Linked DNA regions of Bombyx mori. The protein of the gene in region 1 binds, or shares a complex with, the protein of each later gene. Links are inferred from orthologs where the notes say so. Each region holds a gene or a part of one and is shown in the gene's direction. Other genes may lie near its edges. The genes, in order: E3 ubiquitin-protein ligase RNF113A, pleiotropic regulator 1 and armadillo repeat-containing protein 7.

Region 1 (3,760 bases):
TAGACTGAGTTTTTTGTGCATTCCTTAAAATATCAAGTCGTCGTGCCCTAAAGGATAAATCGTCCGGTGCATTCGTGTTGAGCGATGCACCGGTGTTCGAATCCCGCAGGCGGGTACCAATTTTTCTAATGAAATACGTACTCAACAAATGTTCACGATTGTCTTCCACGGGGAAGGAATAACATCGTGTATTAAAAATCAAACCCACAAAATTATAATTTGCGTAATCACTGGTGGTAGAACCTCTCGTGAGTCCGCAAGGGCAGATACCACCACCCTGCCTATTTCCGCCGTGAAGCAGTAATGCGTTTCGGTTCGAAGCGTGGGGTAGCCGTTGTAACTATACTGAGACCTTAGAACTTATATCTCAAGATGGGTGGCGCATTTACGTTGTAGATGTCTATGGGCTCCAGTAACCACTGAACATCAGGTGCGCTGTGAGCTCGTCCATCCATCTAAGCAATAAAAAAAAAATTACACCCTAAACCTTTTAGCATTCAATATTTCCAGTTTGTATGGTAAATTATGATTCCACTTCCACTTTATTTCAAGGCAGCTAATGACTTTATTAATTTATCTATTTATTATTACTATAAAAGAGACATGAACATCGTGATAAGAATAGTGTTTATTATGTCCATTACAATGTTTGAGTTTTAACTCTGGTTTCAACTTTTAACAGTAGTAGTAGAAAGGGCTTAAGTGTGAAAAAAAAAAGAATTCCTCAATGTGGCTGTGTGGCTGCTCGGGTCCCTTCCAAATTGCCTAGAAGCCTCAATAAGTCTCCGCTAATTTACTGACAGGCTATTTTATTTCATCTTATACAACATGTACGGCTTTCTCTTATTTAACCTTATTATTCCATATGCTAATTTAAGTTTTGATTTAACTTCAGGCATTGCTATAAATGTTTAAGCTATGTTGTATGGGCAGTATTCCCTCCATTCAATAGACAAATCATAGTTTAAAAAAACAACTATCCGTCAAAATCAATCACATGTCAATGTTAAAAATGAGCATTATTTTGATCATTGCCAATATTATCATGTTGTGAAATGCAAAAATTAATTAAAAACCCTATAAATACCGACAATACTTGAAGGTCCTAAAGTGAAATACAGTACTTTTATTTAGTATTATTGTGTCCTCATTAATGATTATGTAGATATTACTCTAATATCGTAGTAAGCACACACTAGGTTGAATAAACAATCGTTCAAAATGTCAGACGCCGAAGTGGAAGTACTCAGTACTTTTAAAAAACGTAATATTAAGAATAGGGGTGGCAGAAAACGTAAAACTTCCAGTTCAGAAGGTAATATTGATCGTTAAGTTATTAAATTATTCTCCAAACGAAAGACATCTAAGAATAGTACATTAAAACTATCTCATCGCTTCTTCATATCCTCTTTCTCACTGTTCCCAGACCCCCGTATTATAAGTGCTTTTATTAAGTGTATAACTACTAACTATAAAATTATAATTATATGTAGCGCATTATTCTCTGTACATAATCTTTATTATAATATGTAAGTTTGTAGTAACATTAATTTTGTGTTAGTCCCAGGCACCATTAATATAGCCAAAATTGGATACTTTTTATAATATAAAGTGTGTTTAAATAGCTCGACAATGTTCCATATGTAGCCATAACACGACACTGGCAGAAATTGCTGGCAGAAACTATCGGCAGATTACCATTATAAAAAAAATATATCGACGCTTGAAAGGCAAAAGTGACTAAGCGACAATAACTGCTTTGCACATAAATGATAGGCAATAACCATATTCGATCCGCAAAAAATATATATTTCTAGGTCTATTAAAATTATTTCAATCCTACAGCTACTAGCTAGTTTCTACTACAACTGGATTCGTTAAAATAAATTTTGTTTTCATGTATTTCAACTTTAAATTAGTCTACCGTAAAGTTCACGCATTGTCGCTTAGTCACGTTTGCCTTTCAAGTGTCGATATATATTTTATCATATGAGGCCGTCAGCGCAAAAGCAGCCTAAGCGTACTATAGTTATTATGGAGCAATGAGGCTTTAGTTTTCATGAATTTGAATTTGAGTTGGCAAAAAAAACAATATGCGCTAAAATAATGATTACAAAGCCATCTGCTTTCTATGGGTGAAACTATGGATAGGCCGGTTTTGCATAAAAATTTATTATATATTAAATAAATTGCAATATACATGATTATAAGCATGAAAAATTGTGGGTTAGGCCACTTTTGCGCTGACAGCCTCATATATACTTGATATTTTTTTTTTTTATAAATATAAATATTTACTAACAATCACTCCACGTTAACTGGTCCCGTGCTAAGTTCGTAAAGAACTTGTGTTACAAGTACCAGATAACGGAAATAAATATAATATTTTTATTATACACATATATATATATATATATATATATATTTAATATACACCCATAACCCTGGAAAGACATTTATATTTATCATACAAATATCTTCCCTTGGCGGGATTCGAACCTGCGACCCCCTTGTGTAGTGACCATGTCACTTACCACTACACCAGACGGCTGCTTAATATATAATTTAATATAGTAACGTTTCAGAGAAAAACAGCTCGGACTCTGATGAGCAACAAGTAGTTCTACCAACGAAAAGGGTGAACAAACCAAATCCAAACATACAGTCTACAGGAGGTCCGAAGAAATCCAAAATTGATGTAATTGAAGATAATGATGATAGTAATGATGAAGAAAAGGTATAGTAACATTAACAGCTCATCATCATCATCAACTCACTTGGATATCATCAGATTTGATAATCTGATCTATAATGAGATCTGCACCTTTGAAGCACCAGATATAAGATATCATAAACAGGCTGTTGGTCCATCTTGTAGAAGGCCTACCCACACTTCAAATCTTCACATACTTCATACATATTTAGATATATAATAGCCACTTGAGAACTTTTGGTTCCAACAGCCTGCTTGCTGCCATTTCAGCCTTTCGGGTTGTCTTTTTTTATTCCTTAAGTTCTTAAGTGGTTACAGGAGCCCATAGACATCTACAAAGTAAATGCCGCCATGCATCTTGAGATATTTGTTAGTGTCTCAGTTATATCTCCACTGAAATCAATATTATCAACAATTAGAGCAGTTTATCTTTACTTAAATCTGGCACACATCTTTTTATCTCTTTAATCTTTTTACACGTCATCTTTATGTTGAAGTCTTGTCTTCTGTATTGAACATAAAAAAAAACCGTTTTAAGATCCATTTAGATCAACATAAGCTTACAATTCTTTCAGACTTCTCAAAGGACAACACTATCGGTTCAACAACAGAGAGAGAATGCAACAGCTACCTATGAATTAGACACAGAAAAGGATAGAGATGCCCAAGCCATCTTTGAGAAGGCTCAGAAGATCAATGAAGAGTTGCACGGACAAGCAGATGATAAGGTATCCATTTCTTCTTCTTCTTCTTCTTCTTTGTCGTTTCCTCATTACTGAGGATCGTGACCACCTTGGTCCAGTTTTTGCACCAGCTTCCTCCAATGTTGCCTGAGGGAGAATGCGGGAGGGACAGCGTAACCGCTCTAATGTTAAAGAGCCTAGGCTCGGATGGTACCAAGATTTTACACTCCATTTGCCAGAAAATATGGCGTACTGGCCAGTGGCCTGAAGACTGGACGGAATCAATGTTAATTCCTCTCCATAAAAAAGGCTCCACGCGCAAATGTGAGAACTACAGGTATCCATTTAACAGTATTGAAATCGC
Region 2 (3,670 bases), on another chromosome or scaffold:
ACAGTACAATGTGCTTAGTACCATTTGTATGGAGTTGGAACAGCGCCTTTAGCGGCAAACGCAGAGTAACTGCCCCAGCTCCATACAATTTTGAGTAACTTTTACACGATCGAGAAGTTAAAACAACTCGCACCAGGCACACTGTACAATGTAAATAATACTTTGGAGGATGTTTATTGTATGTAATTTAACATAACAAATAGCTATCATTAAATCAATAAATATTCGAAAACTAGTGAGCAGCTGTATCTAGTCTAGTTTCTAGTCTGTAAGCACAATTTCTAGTCATGTTCGTACCTACTTGTGAATTTAGAGGTAAATATAGATATAGTCCACTGTGTATTTTATTGAAAATCAATTCCACAATTTTCTTCGCAATGAATTTTTATGCTCGAATTTTGTACTTATGAATAAAATCGACGTTGTGTAAACAGTGTTTTTTTCATTTCTAGGAGCAAACTCTAATTAAATTATTGATAAAATTCTGAGCCAAATCCGTACTTTCTATCCGTCACAACAAGCATAAACAACAAACAATAAATTTTTTCTTCAAATACCCTTTAGTATTTCAGCTCAATAAGAGGAATTTAAAATGTTTGTTTTAAAACAATTAAAATGGTAATTTCAAAAAATCATAATAATTATGTTTGTTGCAGGCTAATCGAGATTTGCATTCATTTGCCCAAATTTTTTATTATCTGTACAGTGACACTTGACAGTGACGCTGCTCATACCGTCCATTTGACGTTTGTTTGACGTAGGATTTATTTTGTAGGAAAGTTGTTGCTGTTTGTTGTCGGGTATTTCTTGGTCTCGACACCGTTAAAACCAAAAAGCTTTTCGTAAGAATCATAAGGAATATGCATTAATTAAAAATAAAATTGAATTTAAATGCTGATTTAATATTACAAGTTAATAGTATTTCGTATTCTTTAAGTAATTTTAGACATTAATTAATAACTTCATAATGTCTGAGGACGTGATTAAACATTCTGTACACACTTTAGTGTTTCGATCGTTGAAAAGATCGCACGATATGTTCCTAGCTAATCAAGGAATGTTGCCGCCAATCGACGATAAAGCGTAAGTAAAACAGAATAATATTATTTGAGGTTAGTTTAATACAAGTCCTAATGGAAATAATCGATGAGCTATTTCAAAGATCGGTACAATAGACAAACTAAGCGATTTGTTGTTCCGTATCAAAAAATTTCTGCTAAACCTTTAAAACTTTCTACTGTACTGGAGAAAACCTTTATGGGAGCAGACAATGTTGTCAAGGTAAATAAATTAGAGGAAAATGTCACGTTATGTATAACTACATAAAACACTAGAGTAGATAATTATTATTTATAATTTTACATTAACAGAGAGAAAGTACTGAAATTGGTTAAAGCAAGAGATAGTTACGGACAAGTCATGGGTGCAGTGCGGAAGGCTCAGGCCCTGAAACAACAAGAGTCTGTCACCTGTAGACCTGAAACTCCACTGACCACAGGTAAAAACAATTAACAAACTCCTATATACGGTTAAGCGCTTAGGCTCAGGATAAATAAAACTTCCACTGAAGTACATATTAAAACTCTATTTAAAACTAAGAACACTTACCAAACACTTTACAATTCGTAATTCACTTCTTCCGCTTCGCTTCAGGTGATCCGTTTGCTGTTTCGCTTTGAGTAGATCCTTTTAATAACTGCTTTCATGTCATCTCTGCAACGCTTTTATAGTCAATACGATATCTCTACAAAAATCGAGAACATTCCAGAAATATGGATCAAATACAGAAACAAAAAAAAAATTATTCATTTTTATGGAATTTTTTTTACAACAAAGTTGCATTTTCGTTATGATAAAAAAACAGCAAGAATTTAGCTGTGGACCTCATGAGTTCTATGCTCATTACATTCAATAAAAAATCGGTCCAATACTCCTTGATATTGCAATGAAATAAATCGAATGTTTTCTTTAGCAGAAACAGTGGAAACTGCACCTTTGCCGTCGGAAGGGGCTGTTGTCCCATACTCTGGACCAACACCTTCACCGTCACCAGCTCCCCCCTCGGGGGCTTTAACTGTACCACGGAAACCGCCGTCTATGCCCAAACCAAAATGGCACCCACCCTGGAAATTAATGCGTGTTATATCAGGTCATCTGGGTTGGGTTCGATGTGTTGCTGTAGAACCTGGAAATGAGTGGTTTGCTACCGGTAAGTAAAATTATAGAAACCACATACAGAGCAAACTAATGGCATCTAATATGCCAACATTTAACTAATATATTTAATCCTTTTAGTATAAATTAGAAGAAGGATATGTGGTAAGAATTATAATTACAAATTTGTCAATCTTAAAAATTTTATTAATATAAAGTTTGATTTTTACATATTAAATATACTTATTTATAAGACTTTTTTATCAATACAACACAAAACATAAACTTTGACAGTTAGATAATCAATATATTGTATTTGTGTAGACAAGCTGTTGTCCTATGAACGGTTGAAAAAATAAACTTGATTTATGATTAAAGTTACTTCATTTTTCTGTTATAATGAACTTTTAGCACAACCATTACAATAAAACCAATCCTAAGGAATTAATCTGCATGATGGTTTTGATATTTCAGGTGCCGCTGACAGAGTGATAAAAGTATGGGATTTAGCAAGTGGGAAACTAAAAGTATCTCTCACTGGACATGTGAGTACAGTAAGAGGTAGGTGCGCACACTTTTTGTATTCATGCAAAAATCAATGCTTGGTTTTCAGATTTTGAATAATGAACGCATTTTTCTTTTATTGCCCAGACAAGCACACTGCCCACCTGATGGTGAGTGGTTACCGTCGCCCAGGAACTTCAGTAATGCCATGGGCTTAGCCAAGCCGCTGCCTACTAAATTAGTAATTTTTTTAGCATCATCAGCCTGCGGCAGTCTGCTGCTGGACATAAGCCTCCCCAAAGCTCGCCACTAAACCCAATCTTCGGTTCCTTAATTAATTTAGTAATTTTTTATTTTAGTAATAGTAGACATTTTTAATTTTTTCAAACTTTTGCTGCTATGTATATTACAGAATTACATAACAAGTTCTGATCATAATTTTCACATTAACACAGTTCTGGATATTTCATCATGTTGTACGCACAGAGACCGTAGGTTGAGTCTATGTTAATTGTGAAAATCATGATCTAAGAATCCATCAAGTACCAGTATGTGTAATATGAATATATTCTATTTCAGGAGTGGTAGTGTCACCAAGACATCCATATTTATTCAGCTGCGGTGAGGACAGACAGGTGAAGTGCTGGGACTTAGAATATAACAAAGTGAGTTATTGACCTATAAATAACAAAAAAATATAGGTTAAATGATATGTCTTTAAATATATGTAAAGAAAACTTTTATTATTTAAAACTATTTAGATTTTAAAAAGGATTTTTCTTCAGTGTTATTCAGTGTCATGGAGTGAAGTGAAAAAGAGAGTTCAGTTTTGTATAGTTTATTATTAATAATATGTACTGTTTACTCTTTAATTGAGGTTAAGGGCTTTATATGTTGCTTTCTTACTATATCACAGAAACCACAACTAATTCATTATTGTTTATTCATTCTGAAATACTCCATATAATTATATGTATATAAAGCAGATGAATTTTTGTATTTAGGATCGGTT
Region 3 (3,760 bases), on another chromosome or scaffold:
AATCACAACTCTGAAACAAAATCATAAAATAGAATAAAAAATAGAAAACAAAAGGACTGGAAATGCAATAATACAATTTTATTTAATCAACATTTTCAAAATAATCTTTGAGCAAGAGTAAGATATCAGGTGAATAAGATAAAAAACCGGCTTTATCTGATTACTGCCAATAATAACAAAAATAAAAGAAATTCTTTCTAAGCGAAATAACTAAACTCAATTAATTCACTCACTCATAATTGGATATCTCGGATTTTTAATTAATGTTACATTTAAAATCTGAGGCCTGTTTTTATTTGTGTGTGCGTTGTGAATGTTAACAAAATCATGATTCGACGCGTGAATAGATTATGAAATAACAAAAGTTTTGATTCGTTTGAGTTCTTTTAACTTTTTTTTTTTTTTATTGCTATAAAGAACATACGACCGGGCAGATGTTACAAGGTAAATGTCGCGAAAAAAAAGTAATTATATATATACTTTTCTTTTACCTATAATACTTACATAAACTAACTGATAAACATATTAACCTTCTTTACATCACGCAATTAAGTGATAGTATAGGCTAAAAAATCTATTATAAGATATCAGTGACAACCCTAACAAGCCATCCCTATTTTGTCTTTTGGCGTTCCAATTTTGTGTTTTCTCGTCCCTAATTTTTCCAGTCTCGTTCCAAATTACCCTACAAACGTCCCAATTTTCCCCAAAAAGGAAAGAAAAAATATACATTTTTTATTTTGTCGAAATATTGTATTTAAAATAAGAATATTGCAACTTACCGTTTGTTGTGGTATTTCCAGGTGTATTAAAAACTTATATAAACTGTGATCTTATTGAAAAAACAACGATAATATTACTTTTTTTAAAAGTTCTTTAAGCTGTTTTAAAACGCACTTTTCAACCACTATTTTCAATTTAATTTGACGAATTTTTGGGACCAACTTAACTCATATTTAGTACTTCTATAGTTAACTTGGTTTTTCTTCTATACATTGACAAATATTAACATAAACAAAATTAGGTAGATTCCGTGCTACAGGTACTTTGAGAATCTTCCGCAGGTTTGTCCCAATTTACCCCAGGATCCCAATTTACCCCATGTCATGGTAGATAAAATGTTCCCTTCCGCATGTCATTGTGCCACCTGTCAAATGTCAAAAACAACAGAGAAAACTGTCATGGCGTGTCAATTGAATTATTGAATCAAAGGAAAAATAAGGAATGTGTATTTACTTTAATGAAAGTGGTCCAGTCAAAGTAGGATTTTTTCTATAGCCTTTTAAGTTACTATAATTTAATGTTCAGTTCAAGAGCACACTTACAAAAACGTACCCCAAAAGATGGTACTGATCGCGAGGCATATTTGTCATTATTAGTCGACGAATATTTACACTCAAGTTCCTATGGTAATAAAATATACATGCAATATCTATTTAATTAATTTTAATGCGATTTACGTATGAACTTTCACAATTGCCATTAAAGTTTTTACTTTTAAAAATCTTAGATAGTTAGAAAACTATTGCATAAACAAGGGCGACCTTAATGCTAAAGAGTACTCACAGTACAGCTAGCCCTATTGCGTTTGGATAATGGTATTTTTCGTTTTAATAAAATTAAATTGTGTATGTGACTTATGGGATATGATTATAGTGATTTTAATATTTATATTTTATATTTATATTTATTGTATCATACATTAGTTTTTTTTCTTCATTATTAAGTAATGTGCATGAAGGTTTGCTCTGTTTCTGAATAATTAATAACATACCTGTTGGATCTTTTTCACAATTTCTCTAGATAAAAAAGGTTGTTTAGAAGAGATGATTGTGTGACACAATGATGATTGTGTTTTGGTGTGTAGTAAAGTAATCTATCTCTCTCTATCTCTGTCTCTCCACGGCTCTCTCCATGGCACTGCAATTTGTTAATGTTATTTTTCCTTACAGAAGCAAAGTTGCAAGTTTTAGCCAATTTGGCAAATTTTGCATATGATCCTGTGAACTACTCATACATTAGAGACGTTGGAGTACTAGATATATTCTTGTATGTGCTGAAGAATGAAACTATTGGTAGATTAATAAGGTATGCCATTGCGGGTGTCTGCAATTTGTGTTTAGGTAAGCTGTTGATAACAATAGATGAATAGTTTTCTCAAATTATTATAAGTTCAATTAAACTGTCAATTTTTTTATGAAAACTCTTATAAGAAAGAACCTGTTCAATAAAAGTATTCTTTATATTATTATGTACAATAATTTATTTAAGATTATCAAAGTAGCTCTATTTAAATTTAATTAAATACTTGAACTATTTGAATATTTGTGAGTGTTGATAAGATGTGATTTAGTGCATTTTAAAGTAAATTAAAATTGAAAGTGCCCAATAATATGTAGTGAGCTTGCACCGTTTTCTTGTAAATGTTTTAAGTGCAATGCTGCTTATACCAAATAGCCATTTTCCCCTCAATATTGTGTAACTGTCCCTACATACCATTAAATTGGAACTCTCTTTATTATATTGGAAAGTCTTAAGCCCATTAGACTGAAATGGTTTATTAATGTTATATCTGACAGTAGTACCAACACATGCTGCCACCACACTACTGACAGTATTCAAGATAATAATTAGAAGAGTAAGGAAAGTAGTAATTAAAAAGTAAAAAAAATTTGATTCTGATTCTCAATAATATTTTCATTAAGAAAGAATAAAATAGCAAATGCATTAATAAAATAGCAATAGACCCGACTACCGACTAAACCCCATCGAGCTCCACTACTCCGACTCCACGAAACCTACGGTACCGCACAATGCGCGCCGCAGGCTCGCCGTCGCCGGTACCCGTCCTGACAATAGGACGGGATCCAATCCCCGGGAAGATCCCGCAGGAATAGACTAGCAATAGAATAGCAATAGACCCGAAATAAATTATTGCTAAAAAAGAAATTAGTAATACTAAAGATTTATCAGTCATTTTGAATCAAACATTTTGAAGTCGTTGTGGTCTAAAGGATACTCCGTTTGGTGCATGCGTATCTTGCGATGCATTGGTGTTCGAATCCGGCGGGTATCTGGCGGGTATCTGGCGGGTACCAAATTTTCTAATGAAATACGTACTTAACAAATGTTGACGATTGACTTCCACAGTGAAGAAATAACATCGCTTAATAAAAATGAAACCCACAAAATTATAATTTGCGTAATTACTGGTACCTATTGTGAGTCCGCACGGGTAGGTACTACCACCTTGCCTATTTCAGCCGTGAAGCAGTAATGCGTTTCGGTTTGAAGGGTGAGGCAGCCATTGTAACTATACTGAGACCTTAGAACTCATTACAAGGTGGGTGGTGGCATTTACGTTGTAGATGTCTATGAGCTCCGGCAACCACTTAACTTCAGGTGGGCTGTGAGCTCGTCCACCCATCTAAGCAATGTAAAATCCCAAATTTAGAAAAACGCTAGAATCATCTTTAAAAATTTGACACTATATAAAATCATATTGCTATTTCACATTTCACATGTTTATGTAAGAATTATCACTTTTCAGATCCACTGAATGCAGACTATATTTTAACTCACTTGGGATTAAAACCTTTGTTTCGATTATTGAAGTCAAGTGATACAGACACTGTAGCTGATACAATAACGACATTGATATATATGTACAATGAGAAAACAAAAACTGAAATAACTGATCAAGACGTTATAAATATGATGTCAAATTTGAAAACTACGCAGGATTTGAGGATCGTCAATT

The links.
Region 2: E3 ubiquitin-protein ligase RNF113A (region 1) and pleiotropic regulator 1 share a complex: the UniProt entries of both Homo sapiens proteins name them as parts of the minor spliceosome. The link is inferred for Bombyx mori from reciprocal best matches to the Homo sapiens genes RNF113A and PLRG1.
Region 3: E3 ubiquitin-protein ligase RNF113A (region 1) and armadillo repeat-containing protein 7 share a complex: the UniProt entries of both Homo sapiens proteins name them as parts of the minor spliceosome. The link is inferred for Bombyx mori from reciprocal best matches to the Homo sapiens genes RNF113A and ARMC7.

Annotation. Positions count from the first base shown.
Region 1 is NC_085108.1:7,586,248-7,590,007, forward strand, and holds the start of E3 ubiquitin-protein ligase RNF113A, read left to right. Parts: upstream 1-971; 5' UTR 972-1,221; coding exon 1,222-1,315; intron 1,316-2,585; coding exon 2,586-2,737; intron 2,738-3,288; coding exon 3,289-3,441; intron 3,442-3,760. UniProt on the Homo sapiens protein: Required for pre-mRNA splicing as component of the spliceosome. As a component of the minor spliceosome, involved in the splicing of U12-type introns in pre-mRNAs. E3 ubiquitin-protein ligase that catalyzes the transfer of ubiquitin onto target proteins.
Region 2 is NC_085129.1:1,617,396-1,621,065, reverse strand, and holds the start of pleiotropic regulator 1, read left to right. Parts: upstream 1-738; 5' UTR 739-967; coding exon 968-1,083; intron 1,084-1,370; coding exon 1,371-1,498; intron 1,499-1,972; coding exon 1,973-2,209; intron 2,210-2,628; coding exon 2,629-2,715; intron 2,716-3,237; coding exon 3,238-3,323; intron 3,324-3,670. UniProt on the Homo sapiens protein: Involved in pre-mRNA splicing as component of the spliceosome. Component of the PRP19-CDC5L complex that forms an integral part of the spliceosome and is required for activating pre-mRNA splicing.
Region 3 is NC_085121.1:11,321,825-11,325,584, forward strand, and holds the start of armadillo repeat-containing protein 7, read left to right. Parts: upstream 1-1,147; 5' UTR 1,148-1,300; coding exon 1,301-1,409; intron 1,410-1,952; coding exon 1,953-2,123; intron 2,124-3,550; coding exon 3,551-3,760. UniProt on the Homo sapiens protein: As a component of the minor spliceosome, involved in the splicing of U12-type introns in pre-mRNAs.